2 linked regions of the Arabidopsis thaliana genome follow. The protein of the gene in region 1 binds, or shares a complex with, the protein of each later gene. Each region holds a gene or a part of one and is shown on either strand. Other genes may lie near its edges. The genes, in order: SMC3 and AT3G57060.

Region 1 (10,126 bases):
GTCACTATTTAAAGTTATAGAAAAAAACAGTTAATCTCTATTATTATTATCATATTCTATTCTAATTTTTTTTCTAGTATGTCACATATTATTTAAAAGATGAGATGAGTGTAATTTTTTTTTTTTTTTAATAATAATATAGACTGCGGTACAAATATCTAGTAACAAAAATATTTATGGTTTTTTAACCATTGTGATTTTATTTAGAATATCTTATAATATTATGGGACAAATGAAGAATCTTTTAATTTTTAACTAACTAAGCTAAAATTTTAATTTATATCTCAGAAAATGATTCTTCATATTTTTGAATTCGAAAATTCTAGCTTGATGAAAAACCAAAAGCCATTTCGACTAAATTCAAAGAAAATTACAACCAATAAGACTTTCATAGTTTAATGTTACAATTAATATCCAAAGAAATTTATTAAAATGAAAAAGTTTTTAAGGTGATCCTTGAAGAGTTTTTATATTACCCAAATAAACGTCGCTTTACTTTACTAGTCAACTTACAAAATCAGCATTAACCACACAAAGCAATAAACAAAAAAGATTTTTTACCATTTGCTTACCTTATCCAAATCTGCTCCCACTGACTCTTCCTTCAATCTTCTCCTCTGTAATCTCTTCACAATCCCAAAAAATCTCACAATCGTTTTTTGCTTATCTCTTTCAATGGACACCTCTCTCTCCCACCACGGATCTCTCCCGTTTCCCCCATCGCGCCGCAATTTCGTTAAACAAAACCGCGGCGGCGATTGCGTTTTTCTCCCCTCGCGTCGTAAGTTCCGATACGATTCGTTGGTGGTGGTTTCCGCTGCGTCTTCGGGACAGAGCATCGACGCGCCTCTAGTTCCACGGTCGCCTCAGGGAAGGTTTCTAAGTTCCGTCTTGGTGAAAAAACGGCAGCTCTTTCATTTCGCCGTCGCTGATTTGCTTAAACAGCTCGCTGATGATAAGGAAGCTTCCTTATCTCGTATGTTCCTTAGTTATGGTTCCGATGAAGCTTCCCTCCACAGGTTCCTTTTAACCTCCACTTTTCTTAATCACAATCGCAAGTGTTTGTTGTCACTGTAGAATCGCCGAGTTGTAGAAGAAAACAAAATCTGTAAAATTGCAGAATCCAGAAATGTTTGAATCTTTGGTTGAATCCAGAAATTATGCTAATCAATGGTTTATTAGTGTTGGTTATCACTATGGAATGGTTGTTTCTGTTTTATGTTCTATGATCTGGCTTTTATATGGAGACTGATTAACGTATTTGAATCGATGTTTTGCAGAAGGATAGCTCAACTTAAGGAGAGTGATTGCCAAATTGCAATTGAAGACATAATGTACATGTTGATCTTGTACAAATTCTCAGAGATAAGAGTGCCTCTTGTTCCAAAGCTTCCCAGTTGCATTTACAACGGAAGACTCGAGATCTCGCCTTCGAAAGACTGGGAACTTGAGTCAATCCATAGCTTTGACGTTCTTGAACTCATCAAAGAACATAGTAACGCAGTCATCAGTTTAAGAGTGAATTCGAGTTTGACTGACGATTGTGCGACAACGGAGATAGATAAGAATCGTCTCAGTAAAGTATACACAGCTTCGGTCTTATATGGATACTTTTTAAAATCTGCTTCTCTTAGACACCAACTCGAATGCTCATTATCACAACACCATGGAAGTTTCACTAAGCAACTGAGGCATTACATTTCTGAGTTCGATCCCAAGATATTGCGGAGATGCGCAAAACCAAGGTCACATGAAGCAAAAAGCCTGATAGAAAAGCAGAGTTTAGCTCTTTTTGGTCCTGAGGAAAGCAGCAAAGAGAGCATTGTGACATCGTTTTCTAGCCTGAAGAGGTTGCTTCTTGAGGCTGTGGCGTTTGGTACGTTTCTATGGGACACAGAGGAGTATGTAGATGGCGCGTTTAAGCTCAAGGAGAATGAGAATGCAGAGGAAGAAACAAATAGCAGTGTTTGAAGTATGTATGAACCAGTTTGCTAGAAGAAAACTTGAATATCTTTTTTGGTGGACATTGCATATAATATATAGATTAAATCAGGGTCAATGGCTATATGAAATTATTTTTGTCTATAGTTTGAGTAATCATATGTATAGTGTATAATGGATGATTTAATAGAGAGATTGGTTTTGTCATTTTATATATCCATCAATATATTGCAACTTCAGAGGAAAAGAAAATAGTTAAAAACCACATTTATTCTAGGTGTCTCTCATATTTGACCAGTTTCTCATCTCTCATCAATTTTCACTTGTGGACGCATGTTAGTTAATTGAAAATAAAAAGACAAAATTTATATGTAAATGCAGTATACTGTATACTGAATATAGTAATTATGTTTTTAGTTACTACTCCTTATGTTTCACAAAAAGTATCATTTTACAATTTTTAACACAAATTAAAAAAACATCTAAAAATTTCTTTTACCTATTGTAATACACTTTTTATTTTTAATTAATAATTGAAAAAACAGAAATAAAACAGATATTTGATTTTAAAAACGGCATCGAAAACACAAAACAACAATCTTTGTTAAACAAAACAAAAAAATCTTAAAACGATATTTTTTGTGAAACAGATGAAGTATTTTAAATTAAAAATTGTAAATTAAAGTTTATAGTTTTTTTTACTATCATTTATAAGAAAATATGTTTGATAAAACATTAACTACTATGTAACATAAGTAAAACCGTACCCTACAAAAAAAAAACATAAGTAAAAGCGCATATAAAGATGCTACTATCTTAACTTTAAAACATCACAACCAAAACGATCAGCAAATACGTTCCATATTTTTTTGTTAAAATATTAAAATTTTTAAAGAAAATGAAGACAATTTTTGTCTTTTTAACTCTTGCAGTTTTGGTTTCATCATGTAAGTTCTCATTCTTGTTCAATTAAAAATATATATATATATATATATATATATATATATTATAGTTTAAATTTTAATTTAATAAGTTTTCAAAAAACTATTTTTACGTGCATCAAATATTATGATAAAATCTATTTCAGAAGGAAAATCTCAGTTTTCCGGCCCTGCATTAAGCCCTAATATTGATCCAGCAGACGAACATATTGGACACTCTCCCGAAGACATGAAAATTATTTTTTGCCAACAATGTGCATTTCATTGTATTGAGAAAAAGAAGAATATAGCTCATTGTGAAAATTCTATTTGTCGTTGTACATTGGAAGACATTTTGTAAGACATTATATTTTTAGAATAATATAAGAAATAATCATTGTGACTGATTTTCTACCTTTACAGCCTCCTTTCAATTTTTAATAAAAATTAATAATATAGAATTGAAAATACATTGAGTTATACATTTTTACATATATTTAAACGACTATATACACTGAATCTTTATAACAAAGAAAAAAAAATCAAAATTGTAATTTTTGTTTGTATCTTCTATATGTATTAAGTGTTACATGTGTTATTTATAAAATGTTTGTGAAGGTTATCACATAAAATTTACTCATCATCTCATGGTTTGCTTTTTTAGAAGAGAATTTAATTTTAGAAATAGAATATAAAATCATAAGTCATATATTTCTTTTTTTGAATATAAACAATCCGAAAAAATACCTAGAAACTATCTTGTTTGTTTTGATTATAAACAATTATATATATATATATATATATATTTATTTAGTCTAAATTTTACGATGTTTACTAATTGCATAACAACCGTTAAATTAGAGGATTGAATCTATCAAAAATTTAAAGACAAAATATTATAATAAAAAGTTTAATTAAATGAGGTATTTTTTATCAATAAAAAACAAAGTAACAATTAAACGTCCAATTAAAAATGAAATATTTTTTTGGTTTTTTCCTACGTCGGTAACTAATAACGTCACAAAGTTGATGGTATTTGAAAGAATTAGCGGCAATTTATTCCCCCCATAAATTTTCATTTGTGACCTAAAATTAACTTTCCCTTTCTCTCTCCGTGCCTCTTCCCATTCTCTTTCAATCTTGTTTGAATCTCCCTCGATTTTCATTTCTCTTTCAATTTCAAAATTCGCACCTCCTCCTCCAAAGTTGTTGAAATCAGATTTTGTTGACCGGAGAGTAGTTATTTATGGAGGAAGATGAGCCAATGGGCGGCGGCGAGTCTGAGCCTGAGCAGAGGAAATCTGGAACTCCGAGACTTTACATAAAAGAGCTTGTCATGAGAAACTTCAAATCATATGCTGGTGAACAACGCGTCGGTCCTTTCCACAAGGTTAGGATTTTACGCTGATTAGATTTGGGTTTTCTCGAATTTGAGCTTCTATGTCAATTACAGTATAGTTTTCGAATTTCTCGCTTTTGAATTGCCCTTGCGAATTTCAGTTTTTTTTTCAATTTGAAGATGAATTTGAGCATATTTTTCGGATTTCTGTTTTTGGCTAGTTTGAATTGCTCTTGCGAATTACAAGATTTTCATTTGAATCTATTGATTCGGAAAATTAGATTTACTGAATTGTTGAAAATTCAGAGTTTTTCTGCGGTGGTTGGACCTAATGGGAGTGGAAAGAGCAATGTGATAGATGCAATGCTCTTTGTATTTGGGAAACGAGCCAAGCAGGTACTTGATTTACTCTTGTGTTTTCTTTTAGTCACTGAACTTTGTTTGAGTAACTCTTATGTTTATTTGGTGTTAGATGCGGCTGAACAAAGTTTCAGAGCTAATTCACAACTCAACTAATCACCAGAACTTGGATAGTGCTGGAGTTTCTGTACAGTTTGAAGAGATTATCGATTTGGTAAAACTTGTTGTCTGCTTACCTATTATTAGACTTTGGTTAAGCTTTCTAGTAATGTGAATTGTTTATTTTTAACTAACTCAGGAAAATGGATTGTACGAAACTGTTCCTGGAAGCGATTTCATGATTACTCGGGTTGCATTCCGAGATAATTCTTCCAAGTATTATATCAATGAGAGGTCGAGCAATTTCACTGAAGTTACCAAAAAACTCAAGGGGAAAGGAGTAGATCTTGACAACAACCGTTTCTTGATTCTTCAGGTTCTCACTTTACAGAAACAGCTTGTTGAATTAACTTGTTTCCCCCTCTAATATTGTTTCTTGAACGTTGACAGGGGGAGGTAGAACAAATATCACTCATGAAGCCGAAAGCACAAGGTCCCCATGATGAAGGTTTTCTTGAATACCTCGAGGATATAATTGGAACGAATAAATATGTGGAGAAGATAGATGAATTAAATAAGCAGTGAGTAATCTATGCATTTGTACTGTTTCTTTTAGACGTAAGTGGTTCCTGATTTGTTGGATGCTATTAATATAACTGCAACTGCCTCTGAAATTTAAGGCTTGAAACCCTCAATGAAAGCCGGTCTGGAGTTGTGCAAATGGTGAAATTAGCGGAGAAAGAAAGAGACAACTTAGAGGTTTGTTGACGTTTTTCCTTCTTGTATGTGACCCGGTTTTGTTGTATATGTTGCTGATGTGCTTTTGGAACAGGGTTTGAAGGATGAGGCAGAGACTTACATGCTGAAAGAGTTATCACATCTTAAATGGCAAGAAAAGGCTACAAAAATGGCATATGAAGATACTGTAGCGAAAATTACTGAACAGAGAGACAGCTTGCAGAATTTGGAAAATAGTCTAAAAGATGAGCGGTAAGCACTACTAATTTTTCTTTAAAATATCAAAGAAATTATATAAACTCATTTGTAACAAATATCGTAACATTTCTGTTACAGAGTGAAAATGGATGAGAGTAATGAAGAGTTAAAAAAATTTGAGTCTGTGCATGAAAAACATAAGAAGAGACAAGAGGTATGTCTGAAATCAATAAGATGTGTCTGCTCTCATGCTTATTGCCGACGAGGCTAAATTCATTTTTCTCTCTCCTAACTTTCAACAAATGGTGAATCACCTTATCTTCCTTTGCAATGATTAGGTTCTTGATAATGAACTTAGAGCCTGTAAGGAGAAATTCAAAGAGTTTGAAAGGCAGGACGTAAAGCATAGGGAGGACTTGAAGCATGTGAAGCAAAAAATCAAGAAACTCGAGGATAAACTTGAGAAGGTTAATAGTTTTGGAAGGATGGTTGACTTTTTTATGGCGTGCATATACCTTACCTGTGTTCTTATGCAGGATTCATCCAAAATCGGTGATATGACAAAGGAGTCTGAGGACTCAAGCAATCTAATACCGAAACTTCAGGAAAACATACCAAAGCTTCAGAAGGTCTTGCTAGATGAGGAGAAGAAATTGGAGGAAATCAAAGCGATAGCTAAAGGTGTGTTATGCTTTAGGATATTAGTCCCCAAATAATGATGTCCTTGTTACCCTGGCAGCTTCTTTAACAACATCACAGTGAAAAGTACTTGGAATTGGCAACTTCTTAAACATGCTAGTACCCATCTATAACGATTAGCTTCTTGCTCAAGAGTAAGCTTGTTCAGTTAATAATTTCTGTCAATTTTGTTACAGTTGAAACTGAAGGTTACCGGTCTGAGCTTACAAAAATTCGTGCTGAATTAGAACCTTGGGAAAAAGATCTAATTGTGCACAGGGGAAAGCTTGATGTTGCATCATCCGAAAGTGAACTCTTGAGCAAGAAGGTACATCTCATATAGTTATAACGATTTGCTTGGAGTCAAGAACTTTTGCTTGTCAAAATAACTTGGCTCGTCTTCAAAAGAATTTCTAGAGAGGTTTTTAATTAGCTTATCCCACTGCTTCTTTAAAGAATTCGTTTGCCATAGTCAAATCTTTATATGCTTCCTGGAGCTGCTTTCGCGCTGAATAATCCAAAATACTGTTGGACGACTAATTTTTTTGTTTCTGTTTGAACATTACCTCTTTGTTATTCTAGCATGAAGCTGCTCTGAAAGCCTTCACAGATGCTCAGAAACAGCTCTCTGATATATCAACGAGAAAAAAAGAAAAAGCTGCAGCAACTACCTCTTGGAAAGCTGATATAAAGAAGAAGAAACAGGAAGCAATCGAAGCTCGGAAAGTGGAAGAGGTACTTTTATTAAGATATGACTGTAATCTGTGCAGCTTAGATGGTGAAACTGAGAGTATGCATCTTAACTTCTGCAGGAATCACTTAAAGAACAAGAAACACTCGTTCCACAAGAACAGGCAGCCAGAGAAAAAGTTGCTGAGCTCAAATCAGCAATGAATTCTGAGAAGAGTCAGAATGAGGTTTTGAAGGCAGTTTTAAGAGCGAAGGAGAACAATCAAATTGAAGGAATATATGGAAGGATGGGGGACTTAGGTGCCATTGATGGTGAGTATATTGGTCTATTGTCTACTATAACATTGCTCTGACCTTGAATATTGCAGACTGTTATTTTCTCCTTGTAGTATGAGGTGTGAAATTTTGATTGACAATATTTTCAATGATAAATGAATTTTAGAAGTAAATCCCCAGTTGCTTGTCTAAATGATTTTAAAAGAAATACAGCGAAACTAACAATCACTGACATGGCTGTCCTATGCAGCAAAATACGATGTCGCCATATCAACTGCGTGCGCCGGCCTTGATTACATTGTTGTTGAAACAACTTCTTCAGCACAAGCATGTGTTGAGCTGCTGCGGAAGGGAAATCTTGGCTTTGCAACATTTATGATATTGGTATTGCATACCACTTTCTGTTTATATGCTTTGAATTACCTGCCTGGCCATTTTATTAAAAATGCCAACTTAAACAGAAGAATCGTTATACAGGGATCCTCAAAATTGTGATTCCTGAGTTGGTCTTAGTAAACTATTATATCTAATTAGGAAGTTAGGAGCGTGTTATGGTGGATTTTGATTCAGCAAATGAAATGCAATAGGCAGCGGTCTTAGTAAATCTTCAAGGGGACTGAATCTGAAGCTTCACATTCATTCGCCAAGTAGGTTCTAGTAATTGCTCGTGCAAATAAAGAGTGAATAACCCTTCAACAATATTCTTTTTTGCAGGAAAAACAAACAGATCATATACATAAACTGAAGGAGAAAGTGAAAACACCAGAGGATGTACCACGCCTCTTTGATCTTGTCAGAGTTAAGGATGAAAGGATGAAACTTGCATTCTATGCAGCCTTGGGAAACACTGTTGTGGCAAAGGATCTTGATCAGGTATATTATGTTTGCTCATCAAGACTGACTCGGCTACATAATTTATTTACTGCCATTAGTAAATTATGAATTGAGCTAAGCTCGGCTAATCTAGTGAAACCCAAGTGGGTAATACCTCCTAAAATACAAAGTTTCTTTGGACTCAGTGCTGAGCCTAATAGATACAATTTTCTTGCTTATTAGGCAACACGTATTGCATATGGTGGGAACAGAGAATTTCGAAGAGTCGTGGCTCTTGATGGCGCTCTCTTTGAAAAATCTGGTACCATGAGTGGAGGGGGAGGCAAGGCACGTGGTGGAAGAATGGGAACCTCTATTCGAGCCACTGGTGTGTCTGGTGAAGCTGTTGCTAATGCAGAAAATGAGCTCTCCAAAATTGTTGACATGTTAAACAACATCCGTGAAAAGGTTGGAAATGCTGTGAGACAGTATCGAGCTGCAGAAAACGAAGTCTCTGGCCTAGAGATGGAACTGGCGAAAAGCCAAAGAGAGGTACTGTCTTCCGTGAATTTATGAGTATAACCCTCCCGTTTGAGATATGTAATCAAGTTGCCCTAAATGTAATCAATTGTTTCTTTCTTTCATATTTAGATTGAAAGTCTCAATTCAGAGCATAATTATCTGGAAAAACAACTAGCTTCCCTGGAAGCCGCATCTCAACCAAAGACAGATGAGATTGACAGGCTTAAAGAGCTCAAGAAAATAATCTCTAAAGAAGAAAAAGAGATTGAAAACCTTGAGAAGGGTTCTAAACAGCTGAAGGATAAAGTGCGTAACATCAGTAATTCTTTTTTTTTTTTAATGTGGCACATCCCTTTTCTTCCAATATGTTTTTGGTCTAACCAGCCATGCTTATGAAATTTTTGACTTATCTTTCCCTGGGAGCTTAGATCAGTAAACGCAAAATCTATGGAGTTGTTCCTTGTTTAATACCCTGTAATATAGAACTTGTGCATTTTAAACTGACGAGGTTTTTTGTTATAGGCTTTGGAGCTGCAAACCAACATAGAGAACGCTGGTGGTGAAAAATTAAAAGGACAAAAGGCAAAGGTTGAGAAGATTCAGACTGTAAGTTTGCTTTTGTTCTTAGCATGCTGTTAGTGAACTCACAGTTAAGTGTGTCCTAATTTATGTTGCACATGTTTAGGATATCGACAAAAACAATACAGAGATCAATCGGTGTAATGTTCAAATAGAAACAAACCAGAAACTGATAAAGAAGTTGACAAAGGGGATTGAAGAGGCTACTCGAGAAAAAGAGAGGCTAGAGGGTGAGAAGGAAAATTTGCATGTGACTTTCAAAGATATAACGCAGAAAGCATTCGAGATCCAAGAGACGTATAAGAAAACACAGCAGGTTTTGACAGTTCTTATACCTGTTATCTATATACTATCTGGATAGCAGTCACAGATCAGTCCTTTCTTTTTGTTTAGTTGATTGATGAGCACAAAGACGTGTTGACTGGAGCAAAGTCCGATTATGAGAACCTGAAAAAGTCTGTGGATGAGTTGAAGGCATCTAGGGTAACAAACAACTAAATCTTTTTCTTTCGGTCTATATTTCATTGCGTTGTTTTCATCATCTAAACTTTAGTCGAATACAGGTAGATGCAGAATTCAAAGTCCAAGATATGAAAAAGAAATACAATGAATTAGAAATGAGAGAGAAGGGTTACAAGAAGAAACTCAATGACTTGCAGATTGCATTCACAAAGCATATGGAACAGTAAGTGCGGTAAACCCTTCATTATATGATTACCTCGTTTACATCTAAAATTCGTCATTCTCCATTGCAGAATTCAGAAAGATCTTGTTGATCCGGATAAGCTTCAAGCAACATTGATGGATAATAATTTGAATGAAGCTTGTGATCTGAAAAGGGCTCTTGAAATGGTTGCCTTACTGGAGGCTCAGCTGAAAGAGTTGAATCCAAATCTTGACTCAATCGCCGAGTAAGAATTTTGTTGTTGTTTCTTTCTTGCTTCGATTGACTCATGTTTCTCTAGCTTTCTTA
Region 2 (13,172 bases), on another chromosome or scaffold:
TAACAAAAATCTTGTAGCAATCAATATATGAAATCGACTAGTTGAAAGCAGGTGACAAGCATGTCTATAAGCATACAAAAAGAGGTAACATGAACCAAACAACCAACAAGAAAAGGGGTAAGATTTTCAACAAATATCCAACTTAACCGTTCTTTTGCAGTTCAATCTCATTCTAGAATTAAACATGGAAACTTGTAGCTATCATCAGAACTCGCACATTTGACATTGACCATACTCTAAAGATTGAAGAGATCACTCAATGAATTGTCCGAATGTTCAATAGCCATAGGAAGAGATCTAAGAATCACTTTGCTAGTTGTTACCAGAAACATTTCACATTACAAAAATTCAGAGGACAAACAAATGAGGTATGCTACTTGATAAGGACAATAAAGTAGTAAACTTTAGTCATCTGAATCCACAAAAGTAGCAATTCAAACTTCAATTAGAAGATAAGAAATTTAAAAGAGTCACAAATTTCATATTCCATCATCTTCTTCACTGCCAAACAGTAAACCCCACAACATGCAAAGACAAAAAAACAGCTAGAAATCGAAAAATCACAACGAATACGAAAATACTTCGATATACCTTTTTGGTAGAATCGGAGCGATGCAGAGCGGAGATGCGAAGACGATCAACATCGGGACGTTCACCGTAAACAGTTCGAAAATCGTGAAGGGAGAGATTGATATCTTCGTCGGAGACTTCGTAGCCTCTGTCTCGGAGCATCTGCAAGCCATTTCGCCGCGCAAGATAGTATCTATGACTCTCTTCACTCGATAGATCCACGTATTTGCTCAGACACAGAACCGAAGCTGTCTCTTTCCCTTTCACTTCCATTTTTGTCTCCCTTATCTGAGCAAAAGTCGTCGAGTCCAGTGATGGGATTTAAAGGGAGACTAAACGTTGTCGTTTTAGGATTTAAGAACAGAAGGAAGAAAGCTAATATAGGTGAGCGAGCAGGTGACATCAATCAATCAAACTACATTTGTGGTAATGTTGCACATATTTTTCATTGATAAAAAATACCTTGCAAACAAAGCAAATCATTCGGCTATTATGCGAATTATCAATCATCATCTACCATTTGATGTACTTCATATAGTAAGAATCATTTAGTTCAAAAGGTCAAGAGCGTAAATGGAACAAAAGAACACAACTCATAAGAGTAAATAATAAAAGGCTTGAGCCAACTTACTTATTTGAATATACATTACTAACCAAATACCATGTTTAGTCAATCAATCTATATCCCCTTTCTCACACACATCTTTTGATCAAACTGATCACTTAGAGACAACACACACGACAACGCACCAATCCATTCTCATTGCATTTAGGACACCGCTTAAACCGTTCATCTTGTTCTTCAAACACTTTGGTGCTACCATCACAGTTAGTACAAGGCACAAACCTTGCATCACCACAGCTCCGGCATGTCCCCAAGCGTTCACAAGCAGGGAAATCTTTCAACATCTCTGCTAATTCACCACCATCATTTAGCTGCATAATCTCCTCCACGCCACCAATGTGAGTTCCTCTGATAAACACCTGAGGCAAACAAACCGGTTTCTCTGCGGCGCCAAGCACGCTTTGAAGCTCTTTCCTGTATTTGGAATCCATAGAGATGTCACGTTCGTCTACGGACACTTGAACTCCTCTCAATATCGCTCTAACGCAACAACAATCCTCGTATGTCTTTCGAATTCCTCTGAGGGTTGTGAAGTAGAGTACAATCTTGTCTTCTGTTCCTGGTAATCTCGGTTTGGCTGGTGATGAAATCAATTGACTAGAGGATACAGATTTTGGTTCTTCGCTTATTAAGATGGATGGATTTGATGATGGGCTACAAGAGAGAGACTTTGTGGGTCTATGAGGGTTTCTAGTATTACTATGATTGCTTAATAGCTTAGAAGACAAAGCTTTCTTGTAGGATGAGACAATGCTGGGATCTAAATCAGAGAGAAATGATTCTTCAGACAAATGCTTCCACAAAGGTTGCTTAGGTTTATAAGTCAAAGGAACCCAATCTCCATCGTCTTCTTCGATTCTCACAATCTCGTAAGATTCATCCAATTTCAACGAAGACCCATTTAAACTCACATTCCGATTCGGGTCGGGTTTAGAGCAAAAATCCGAATTTAGACGCTTACCCGGTTTGGGAATTTCGAATTCGAATTCATCGTCCAAGCCATCCATAAGCTCCCAAGTGTTTATGACTGAATCAGGAGAGACCGGATCTGGTGTGTTCTTCCCGGAGATTGAGATACGAGGCAGCGTTTGTTGGTCGGAAGAGGAGTTTTTGGATCCATCGAGATCAAGGAGGAGAAGAGAACCGTACGATGTAGATGTAAGGGAAACAAGGTGATGAGAGTCGCCTTTTCTCGCCGGAGGATGGTGAACCAACGGCGTCGGAAACGAAAAAGCTCTCTGCACCGCCGGTGAAGATGAATCGGAGCTGAATTTGGTCGGCGGTGGAGAAAACGCAGATGAGGAAGAAGCAGAAGAAACGGAAGAAGCGGTCTTTGAAGCAGAAGAACCCATTACGAAATCGAATTTAAAAACACTGACTTTAATGAATAATAGTTTTTAGTTTCTTTGCTCTTTCTGGTTTCTTCTGAGATTGTTTGGTTATCTCTGGGAATGATAGAGAACAGAGAGAGAAAAGAGAAAGGTGGAGAATAGCTGTCTAGGGCAGTTGAAGGTGGAAGATGGTGAAATTTAATGGCAGAAGAAAGAAACGATGTTGATGTTGATTTTCGGACACAACAACAGTTCTCGATTTGATTTTGATTGTGTAACCAAAGCTTATGTATAGAAGAAGAACCAAATTCCAAGAACTTTCCTTCACTGTCTATAAATTGAGCCAAACGTTTTTAAAATAATGAAGAAAAATAAAATATTAAAGAAAAATGTCATTATCTTCATAACTGCAATCTTTAATTCTTTATGATATTTTTATTAGAACTAAACGAAGATTGGAGGAGAAAAAAGGTTGATCAATCAAACAAATATTGACATGTCAGTTCCAAAAGATTTTATAATTAATTTTGGGGGTTCACAATATACATCTACATCTAAATTTTAGTTGAATTTATTTTTGCAATGCTTTATTTCTAAATTGCTTTTTTAATTTACGTCTTTGAAAATGTTTATTCCAAAATTTATCTTTTGAAATTTGCATTCAAACAAAATGTTTTGATATGACTCTATCTAGATATAAATATTAAGAATATATAAATTAAAAATATTAATTTTTATATCTACATATATTAAAATTTAATTTTAAAGTAAAAACATATAGATAATATTAAAGGTTTGAATGATAAATTTCAAGATAGGACCTAGACAGAGTATTCACGTGAATAATTTAAATCCTTGACTTTACGGAAAGTTTCTATATCTGACCTGTTATTAACTTTTCTTCTACCATAATTTAATATCATCATCTCATTGAACTCTTCCTTATTCATTTTTATTCATAATCAAACATTTTATTCATTTTGATTGATCTACACATACCTTTTTCTATTTCCTAAGATGATGTTTTGCAGTTAGCTGGTACGATTTAGTTGACTAGTCTTTGTAATGAAAGCTGTATATTCTAATCCCCACGAGAGAAAGTATGGTGCTTTGCTGTTACATTTTTTGTTTTTAATGAATTTGCTGTTACATTTTTGCATTATGTTAATGTATTTGAATCACGTATTATTATGTTATACGGTTTAGAAAAAGAACAGCTAATTGGACCACATCTTAATTAAAAATAACACTAATTGGACTACACATAAACAACATGGGAAGAAGTTGAATTGCACAAGGCAAAAACTCCTTGAAGATTCTTTATTATTTTTGGTACTTTGTTCTTTGTCTTTTACTCTTTTCAATAAGGGAAGAGGAAAGATTCGAAATTCAGAACCTAACACTACAAAGACTAAATATGATATAAGGAAGATATGCATAAGACAAAAAGCTAATATAAGAGGAAAGCTCAATAGTTTTAGAGGTGGATCTTGACAGATAAAAATGTTTGGTTCTTCATTGAATATTTGAATGTAATAGATTTCTTTGACGCCAATGAGCTAAATATATACAAAGTAAATTCAAAGGGAAAAATCATTTTCTCTTGTGTGATCTTCCAAGCAGAAGAGGCTAAAAAAGATTTCTTGAAATTGATAGAAACTCAATTGTTTCAGCAACATTTTTTCACAAGTATGAGGTCACATATGTTCTGGAATTCTACAAACTATATACTATACACATATACTGCTGCTCTGCTCTCTCTCTACCTCTCTCTGTCTGTCAAAATGTTTCATAGTTAAGAACCTTGCCAGCGTACCAACAGAAGATATGATAGAACCTTACTTGTGTACTCTGCGCATTTACTGCTGTAAAAGCCCTTCCTGAATTCAGAAAGGCCTGAATGCAAAACAATGACTAGTAAGCTAAGGAGAAAAACTAAAACAAAAGGTAATCTTCAGGATTATAAAACATGCTTCCAGGAATGTTTTGGTACTGAAGCTAAGAAGGTATTATCACCTATGAACTGTTTTCCAGACAATCACTTAAGCATATGGATCATATCATCAATGCTGATGTACTTATGTAGAGAGGAGATAAATTATCTGAGCATGTGAATGATCCTGAGGATACTTGTATCGACACAAAAACCAGCTACTATGAGAGATAAACTCAAGCAGCTGAGCAAAAGGAAACGAGCATTATATGCATCCCAGAGTTGCTGATCAGAACAAATACAACCAAATTGGAGTTGAGAAATCTCGATTTTTGTTCATGGGCCATTAACAAGCATCATTAACATAACAACATCCATGCGAATCCATAAGATATGTATAGTTTCATATACGAAGCCGAACTTTAGTTACACATACACACACTGAGTGACTGAGACATATATCAATCACTTCCACCAAAAATTGTTCCCTTTTCGACCAAAATGATCTATCTTTATCCTCTATAAACTCAAACTATTATCAATTTCAGAGTTTGTAGGGAAATTTGAAGCGACTCTAATCTAAAACAACAGAGCAAAACAAAAAAAAACGTAAAATTTGGGGAAGAGAAGAACATATACGCACAGAAGGAGAGCTAAGGATCTCGAATTCAATCATCCGACGTGGAAAGGACCAATATCTCCGTTTCTCAGAGAACCAGCGATCTCATCAGCGATAGCCACGCAAGTGAAAACCCAACCACTCAGAGAAAACCAAACCATTCTCATCAGATACATCGCCATGCCCAGCGGCATCGCCATCTCAAAGCTTTTCTGCTTCTTTCTCTCTCTTTCGTCAGATCAAATGATTGGCCGGCGAAGCCATTAGAGTGGCCAAAAGCTTGGGGAAAAAAAAATCAAAGATGATTCGGTAGGTTCAAGGATCTTCCAACCATTTAGATTCGGCCACGTCTTCGTCGTATTTATTCACCAGCCGACGGAGACTCATAATTAAATTCGAGGGCCCACATGAAGATAAAATAATTAGGATCCGACCCGGTTTTGTATCCGGAACCCGACCCGATAGGATGATCCATGGATTCCCGCTCCGTTGCCTTTTTCGATTTCATTTTGAAATTGAAATTCCCCAAAAGGTAGATTCTTCTTTCTCTCTCTCTCCTCTGAGCAACGTCTCTCTCTCTCTCTAGAAAAAATGGCTCCTCCCTTTGTATTCCCTCAAATTCTACGAGCCCTAGAAGAAGATCCGGAGGATAATCACCGTTTGTTCGCTCAGAATCCCGTCGATGTAACCTCTCTTCGCCCTTCCGATCTGGAAGAATTCGTCAAAGGTAAATTGTCTTTGTCTCTCCACTGTATGAGCGTATCTGAGATGCAATTGCGAGAGGGTTTAGATTTGCTTTGCAATCCCAATTTGGGAGGAAAATTGCATTATGTATGTTGATAGTGTCCTTAGTCACCTGAGTCGTCAGGTAGGTTTAGTGGGAATTCGTGTCTACAAGCGAAGCTGAACAATATGAAATTGATTAAATTTAAGTCGAGAGAAATTTCATTTAGTGCGTTTCTGGAGTCAAATTTCTTCTATGACTCTTGTGATTGATATGTGAGGCATTTTGTTTACTTTCGTCTCGTGGAACAGGTGTATCCTTTGACCTTTCTGATAGAGAACTCTTTTGTGTCGAGGATCAAGATGTATTTGATCGTGTCTACTCTTTGGTCAGGAGCTTCTTTAGTCTTCCTCCATCTTGCAAGTGTAATCTTGTAGAAAGCCTTCGGTCCAATCTAAGCGTTCTTCTTCCCAATGTCGATTCGATATCCCGGTCTGTCCAAGATCAGGAGGATGATGTTCCAATCATTGATAGGATCACATCACATCGCAATGCCTTGAAGATATACACTTTCTTTCTCCTCACTGTTGTTATGAATGAGGAATCACACATCAGCTCAGTCGAGACTACAAAGGTGTTCTCTCTTTTTCCAGCTGATAATACAGAATAAAATTCATCTCTTGTTGTCGAATTTACGGTAGTGATGTTGTGGATGAACAGGTTGCAGCACGAGGGAGGAAAAAGCAAATCATCCAGTCATGGAACTGGGAACCTCAGAGGGGTAGGATGCTCAATTTGATCGCAAATTCTCTTGAAATCAACCTATCCTTGCTCTTTGGATCATCAGACCTAGACGAAAACTACCTGTCTTTCATTGTCAAGTAATTTCCGTGACCTAATGAATCTTGTTTCTTTCATAGTCCATGCTATAGATACATTCTCACAACATTTTCATATCATTTCCTTGTAGAAACTCGTTCACTCTTTTTGAAAATGCCACAATCTTAAAAGATGCCGAGACAAAAGATGCACTGTGCCGAATCATCGGAGCATCTGCTACAAAATACCACTACATTGTGCAGTCATGTGCCTCAATCATGCACTTGATACACAAGTATGATTTTGCTGTTGTACACATTGCTGATGCAGTTGCTAGAGCTGAAAGCAAGTATTCAGATGGTACGTTGGCAGTGACAATCATTAGAGATATTGGGAGGACTGACCCAAAGGCCTACGTTAAAGATACTGCTGGGGCTGATAATGTGGGACGTTTCCTGGTCGAGCTTGCTGATCGTTTGCCAAAATTAATGTCGACAAATGTTGGAGTTCTGGTCCCTCATTTTGGTGGTGAATCATACAAGATAAGAAACGCACTAGTTGGTGTTCTTGGGAAATTAGTTGCAAAAGCATTTAATGATGTCGAGGGAGATATGAGTTCCAAGTCCCTTCGTCTGCGAACTAAGCAAGCTATGTTGGAAATTTTGCTCGAACGCTGTAGAGATGTTTCAGCCTATACAAGGAGCCGTGTTCTTCAAGTGTGGGCTGAACTCTGTGAAGAGCATTCTGTTTCAATTGGCCTATGGAATGAAGTTGCATCACTATCTGCTGGAAGACTGGAAGATAAGAGTGCAATTGTTAGAAAATCCGCATTGAATTTACTGATCATGATGTTGCAACATAACCCCTTTGGTCCACAGCTGCGGATAGCTTCATTTGAAGCAACCCTGGAGCAGTATAAAAGAAAACTGAACGAACTTGAACCTACTGAGCATGCATCAAAAGAGTCAACTTCAGATGGTGAATCCTGTAATGGAGATGGTGAAATCGATGACTTGCATCTTGAAACTACAACTAAGATTCATCAAGATAGTCTATCTGATAGCTGTCAGCCAGAGAATGGAGAAGAAATCAGTGAGAAGGATGTTTCTGTTCCAGATATTGGTAACGTTGAGCAAACCAAGGCTTTGATTGCTTCCCTAGAGGCTGGATTGAGGTTCTCGAAGTGCATGTCAGCCAGTATGCCAATCCTCGTTCAATTAATGGCTTCATCTTCTGCCACTGATGTTGAGAATGCTATTCTTTTGCTGATGAGGTGTAAGCAGTTCCAAATTGACGGTGCAGAAGCTTGTCTCCGTAAAATTCTGCCTCTGGTATGGTCGCTTATCATGTATCAAACTCATAAGAATACATTCTTCTGACATTTTTCAGTTAGCATCCTCTTAATACATTGTGCTAAAAACCTTGTTTATTGTTGTCTTTGCAGGCCTTTTCTCAGGATAAGTCTATCTATGAGGCAGTAGAGAATGCCTTCATCTCAATCTACATAAGGAAAAATCCAGTTGACACGGCGAAACAGCTGTTGAACCTTGCCATAGATTCGAATATAGGAGATCAGGCAGCACTAGAGTTTATTGTTAATGCTTTAGTGTCAAAAGGTGAAATATCTAGCAGCACGGTAGGTTCCTTCTGTGACTCCAGCGTATGAGTATGCTATGAATTATGGTCACTTGATACGTGTAGTCTGCTTATGCACAGTCAAGAACAACTAAAAATAATGAGCGTTTGATTATTGATTAAATTTCTCGAGCGAAAAGGATTTTCACCTGCTAGAGGCTAATAAGTGCTTCTATCATTTTTCTGTTTGTAGACATCAGCTCTATGGGACTTCTTTTGCTTTAACATCAATGGGACAACTGCTGAGCAAAGTCGTGGGGCTCTATCTATCCTTTGCATGGCTGCAAAGTCGTCCCCTAGGATTCTTGGATCACACATACAGGATATTATTGATATTGGGTTTGGCCGTTGGGCAAAAGTGGAACCTCTACTTGCCAGAACTGCATGTACTGTTATTCAGCGGTTCTCCGAGGAAGATAGGAAAAAGTTATTGCTCAGCAGTGGCAGCCGATTGTTTGGTATTCTTGAAAGCTTGATCACTGGGAACTGGCTTCCAGAAAATATATATTATGCAACTGCTGATAAAGCCATAAGTGCCATATACATGATCCACCCAACTCCAGAAACATTGGCTTCTACTATTATTAAAAAGTCCCTGAGCACTGTGTTTGACGTAGTTGAACAAGAGGAAGCACAGACTGATACCGAAAATAATAAAGTTGATATTTTGACTCCAGTTCAAGTGGCTAAACTCAGTAGATTTTTGTTCGCTGTCAGTCACATTGCCATGAACCAGTTGGTGTATATAGAATCCTGTATCCAGAAGATCCGGAGACAGAAGACTAAAAAGGACAAACCGGCTGCTGAAAGTCAGAACACAGAAGAAAACCTTGAGGCCACCCAAGAGGTACAGACCAATTTCGTAGAGCGCAGCTGGTGGCACAAATTTTACAACCCTAAAGGGTTATTTTTGCTGAATAATGCAAAGTTTTCTTTGTTTTGTAGAACAATGGCATAAATGCTGAGCTAGGACTTGCTGCCTCTGATGATGCACTGCTTGATACACTCGCTGAAAGAGCAGAGAGGGAAATTGTTTCTGGGGGTTCTGTTGAGAAGAATCTGATTGGGGAGTGTGCAACTTTTCTCTCTAAGCTTTGCAGAAATTTTTCTCTGCTGCAAAAGGTAGTTAGTTTTCTATTCATTCATTCTGTTTCATGGCGTGTGATGAAGTTAAAAGCCTTCTTTTGCTCTCACATTTATTTTGGATATACATGATAAAATGAAACTTGTCTTTTCATTCGTACAGCATCCTGAACTACAAGCTTCCGCAATGCTTGCATTATGCAGGTTTATGATTATTGATGCAAGTTTCTGGTGAGATTAAATCATTATCATATAGTCTATTTATCCTTTACAAAACTGAATTTATAGTTAAATTGATGCATTAAACTCAATGTATGCCAGCGAATCCAATCTTCAGCTTCTCTTCACAGTTGTTGAAAATGCACCGTCTGAAGTTGTACGATCGAATTGCACCCTTTCCCTTGGAGACTTGGCTGTTCGTTTTCCAAATCTTTTAGAACCTTGGACAGAAAATATGTATGCCAGGTTACGGGATGCTTCAGTTTCTGTCAGGAAAAATGCTGTCCTGGTCCTCTCACATCTTATATTGAATGATATGATGAAGGTTGGACTCCTTACCTCTCTCCTTGCTCTCTTTAAATATCTGCAATTATAGTTGGAGGTTTCATTTTGTGAATCCTGATTTCAGGTGAAAGGTTATATATATGAAATGGCTATATGTATAGAAGATGATGTGGAGAGGATCTCTAGTCTCGCAAAACTATTTTTCCATGAACTGTCTAAGAAAGGTCAGTTGCAATAGCTGCTTTACATGACATAGCAACTTCCACCTTTGAATCAAATTTAACACTTAAGTTTATTTTCTGCCAAACAAATCCAGGATCGAATCCCATATACAATCTACTTCCTGATATACTTGGGCAGTTATCCAACCGGAATTTAGAGAGGGAGTCATTCTGTAATGTCATGCAATTCTTGATCGGCTCCATCAAAAAGGTATACAGCTTTTCAATATTGAAGTTAGTATGACCTGTATTTATTCTTATCTAATCACTCATCTGCATCCTCATCAATCTCCAGGACAAACAGATGGAGGCTCTAGTTGAGAAGCTTTGCAATAGGTTTAGCGGAGTCACAGGTATGCTTGTATTGATGATATATCCTTACACCTGTTTTGGGTTTAATAAGAAGTATATCCCTTTGACATCTACACCTAAACTTGCAGATGGAAAACAGTGGGAATACATTTCGTATTCTCTTTCGCTGCTGACATTCACAGAAAAGGGAATCAAAAAGCTTATTGAGTCATTCAAGTCTTACGAGCACGCTTTAGCAGAGGATTTGGTGACCGAGAACTTTAGAAGCATAATCAATAAGGTCTGGTTTCTCTGGTTTTCGTCACCCTAGTCATTTTTAATGCTATATGTTAGTTTGACATCTGGTTGTGAATCTGAACAGGGAAAGAAGTTTGCGAAGCCAGAACTGAAAGCGTGTATCGAAGAGTTTGAAGAGAAGATCAACAAGTTCCACATGGAGAAGAAAGAACAAGAAGAAACCGCAAGAAATGCCGAGGTTCATAGAGAGAAAACCAAGACCATGGAATCCCTTGCTGTCCTCAGCAAAGTGAAAGAAGAACCTGTAGAAGAATATGATGAAGGTGAAGGTTAGTAATTTTTTGACTCTTGGCTAAAGCAAAGTTCACTGTACCAGACTTACGATAGTCAAATGCCAGTTAACGGCAAGCTTTTCAAAATGGACTGTTTTTTGTATTCTCAGGTGTTTCAGATAGTGAAATTGTGGATCCATCAATGGAAGAATCAGGCGATAATTTAGTTGAAACTGAGTCAGAGGAAGAGCCATCTGACTCGGAGGAAGAGCCAGATTCTGCACAATGTGGTACGGCCATTCCTCGTTATTTAAACCAAAAGACTAGTGGCGATAATTTGATTGAAACTGAGCCCGAGGAAGAGCAATCTGACTCGGAGCCAGATTCTGCACAATGTGGTACGACCAATCCTCGTTCCTTAAACCGAAAGACTAGTGGCGATAATTTGATTGAAACTGAGTCCGAGGAAGAGCAATCTGACTCAGAGGAAGAGCCATCTGACTCGGAGGAAGAGCCAGATTCTGCACAATGTGGTACGACCAATCCTCGTTCCTTAAACCAAAAGACTAGTGGCGGTATGTGAAAACTTCAATATGTATTTCAAAAATCTCACACAACTTAAGCTACATTTTAGAAATTGTTATATACCGTTAAGTAAAGTTGTGAGGTTTTCAGGGGAAGAAGGCGAATCAGAAAGCAAGAGTACAGAGTCATCGAGCAGCATCAGGAGAAACCTGAGGTCAGGAAGTAGAAGTTAAAGAACCATTGTGTAGATGCAGAGAGAGAGCGAATGTCTGTTCAAGTTGCTCAACATCTCGAGAGCTATCTTATAATTTACGTCTGTTTTGGTCACCGCTTTTGTTTCTCCCTATTATGCTTAGATATTGAAGAATCGACAATATTTATGTCTAATGTCCTAGCCGGTTTAGTTATGACAATTTGTAGCCAAAATATATAAGATCTGAATTAGTTTTGTATCAAATTTCCTTTTTCTTGTCAGTTTCACTGACGAATATATTAGTGGCCTCATGGGTACTTAAGAGTTAAGACTAAGAGTAGGTGTACACCTACTTTCCTCCACGTGTTATAACCAGACCAGATTTATTTCGGTTTTGTCTTATCGTATCTAAATAAACCGAAAGAAACCAAAACCGAGACTTAAAGCCGAGAGACCTTCGGTTTCTCTTCAGTCGTCTCTACTCTCACTTGAGCACGAGAACTGTCTCCGTCGCCGTTATTATCTCGTCGGCTAATATCTCAGACGAGAAATCGACGCCGGAGAAAAAGCAATTTAGTTCTCTTTCATCTACCAAAATGACATCTTCTCTGTCACTTCACTCCTCCTTCGTACCTTCCTTCGCTGATCTCTCCGACCGAGTAAGCTTTTTATTTTAATATAATTTATCGACCTCAGATAAAGTTAATCCCTTTTCTTTTGCTTTTGGTCTGGCTCTACCAATTTAAGTGATATCTAATCATTTTCGTCTCTGGGTGTTTCTCTGAAGGGTTTGATCAGTAAGAACTCTCCGACCAGTGTTTCCATTTCCAAGGTTCCAACTTGGGAGAAGAAGCAGATCTCAAATCGGAACTCTTTCAAGCTGAATTGCGTGATGGAGAAAAGTGTCGATGGTCAAACTCATTCTACCGTTAACAATACCACTGATAGCTTAAATAGTTCGTTAAGCTTAAATAACTTCTTTTTATTGGATCATATTGATGATAATCATAAAGTTAGCGTCTTTTTTATTGATTGATGGTGTTTCAATGTTTTTGCAGCTATGAATATCAAAGAAGAAGCTAGCGTCTCTACATTATTGGTGAACTTGGATAATAAATTTGATCCCTTTGATGCAATGAGCACTCCGCTTTACCAAACTGCTACTTTTAAGCAGGTATTCAGCCATAAAGCGAACAACTTCGTTTACTACGAGAAGATTTTGTCACTTGATACTAGTTTCTTTGCTTATTGTAGCCTTCTGCTATTGAAAATGGACCTTATGATTATACAAGAAGTGGCAATCCTACACGGGATGCATTGGAAAGGTAATTGTTTCTTAGCATCTTCTCGATTCCTAGGTTATTTAGCTATATTTGTATGTGTGTTTGTTCAACATTACTTATAGAAGTTGTATTCGTTTGTTAGCCTCCTTGCGAAGCTTGACAAGGCAGATAGAGCATTTTGCTTTACTAGCGGAATGGCTGCTCTTAGTGCTGTTACACATCTTATCAAAAATGGTAATTTCCGATACTGACTTCTCCTGGATTGTAATGTCTTTCAGTGTATTAG

What was found.
Region 2: SMC3 (region 1) and AT3G57060 share a complex: the UniProt entries of both Arabidopsis thaliana proteins name them as parts of the condensin complex.

The regions. Positions count from the first base shown.
Region 1 is NC_003076.8:19,697,801-19,707,926, forward strand, and holds the start of SMC3 (structural maintenance of chromosome 3), read left to right. Parts: upstream 1-3,927; 5' UTR 3,928-4,107; coding exon 4,108-4,251; intron 4,252-4,506; coding exon 4,507-4,596; intron 4,597-4,672; coding exon 4,673-4,774; intron 4,775-4,858; coding exon 4,859-5,035; intron 5,036-5,109; coding exon 5,110-5,240; intron 5,241-5,339; coding exon 5,340-5,418; intron 5,419-5,491; coding exon 5,492-5,649; intron 5,650-5,733; coding exon 5,734-5,809; intron 5,810-5,933; coding exon 5,934-6,062; intron 6,063-6,131; coding exon 6,132-6,276; intron 6,277-6,470; coding exon 6,471-6,601; intron 6,602-6,855; coding exon 6,856-7,008; intron 7,009-7,085; coding exon 7,086-7,275; intron 7,276-7,489; coding exon 7,490-7,623; intron 7,624-7,953; coding exon 7,954-8,112; intron 8,113-8,295; coding exon 8,296-8,604; intron 8,605-8,703; coding exon 8,704-8,880; intron 8,881-9,096; coding exon 9,097-9,180; intron 9,181-9,259; coding exon 9,260-9,469; intron 9,470-9,546; and 6 more. Other genes in the region: AT5G48590 (phosphoserine aminotransferase, putative (DUF760)), read left to right, coding at 676-1,019, 1,281-1,971; AT5G48595 (Defensin-like (DEFL) family protein), read left to right, coding at 2,840-2,888, 2,975-3,222. UniProt on the Arabidopsis thaliana protein: Central component of the condensin complex, a complex required for conversion of interphase chromatin into mitotic-like condense chromosomes.
Region 2 is NC_003074.8:21,113,549-21,126,720, reverse strand, and holds AT3G57060 (binding protein), read left to right. Parts: upstream 1-5,607; 5' UTR 5,608-5,669; coding exon 5,670-5,805; intron 5,806-6,113; coding exon 6,114-6,436; intron 6,437-6,522; coding exon 6,523-6,683; intron 6,684-6,772; coding exon 6,773-7,952; intron 7,953-8,065; coding exon 8,066-8,257; intron 8,258-8,449; coding exon 8,450-9,103; intron 9,104-9,201; coding exon 9,202-9,378; intron 9,379-9,502; coding exon 9,503-9,570; intron 9,571-9,660; coding exon 9,661-9,883; intron 9,884-9,967; coding exon 9,968-10,067; intron 10,068-10,159; coding exon 10,160-10,275; intron 10,276-10,359; coding exon 10,360-10,417; intron 10,418-10,504; coding exon 10,505-10,656; intron 10,657-10,737; coding exon 10,738-10,942; intron 10,943-11,055; coding exon 11,056-11,460; intron 11,461-11,545; coding exon 11,546-11,643; 3' UTR 11,644-11,854; downstream 11,855-13,172. Other genes in the region: NRPE5 (Eukaryotic rpb5 RNA polymerase subunit family protein), read right to left, coding at 592-843; AT3G57072 (uncharacterized protein), read left to right, coding at 885-1,022; AT3G57070 (Glutaredoxin family protein), read right to left, coding at 1,294-2,547; AT3G57062 (uncharacterized protein), read right to left, coding at 5,132-5,278; CBL (cystathionine beta-lyase), read left to right, coding at 12,200-12,262, 12,391-12,559, 12,662-12,777, 12,858-12,928, 13,029-13,120. UniProt on the Arabidopsis thaliana protein: Essential protein. Regulatory subunit of the condensin complex, a complex required for conversion of interphase chromatin into mitotic-like condense chromosomes.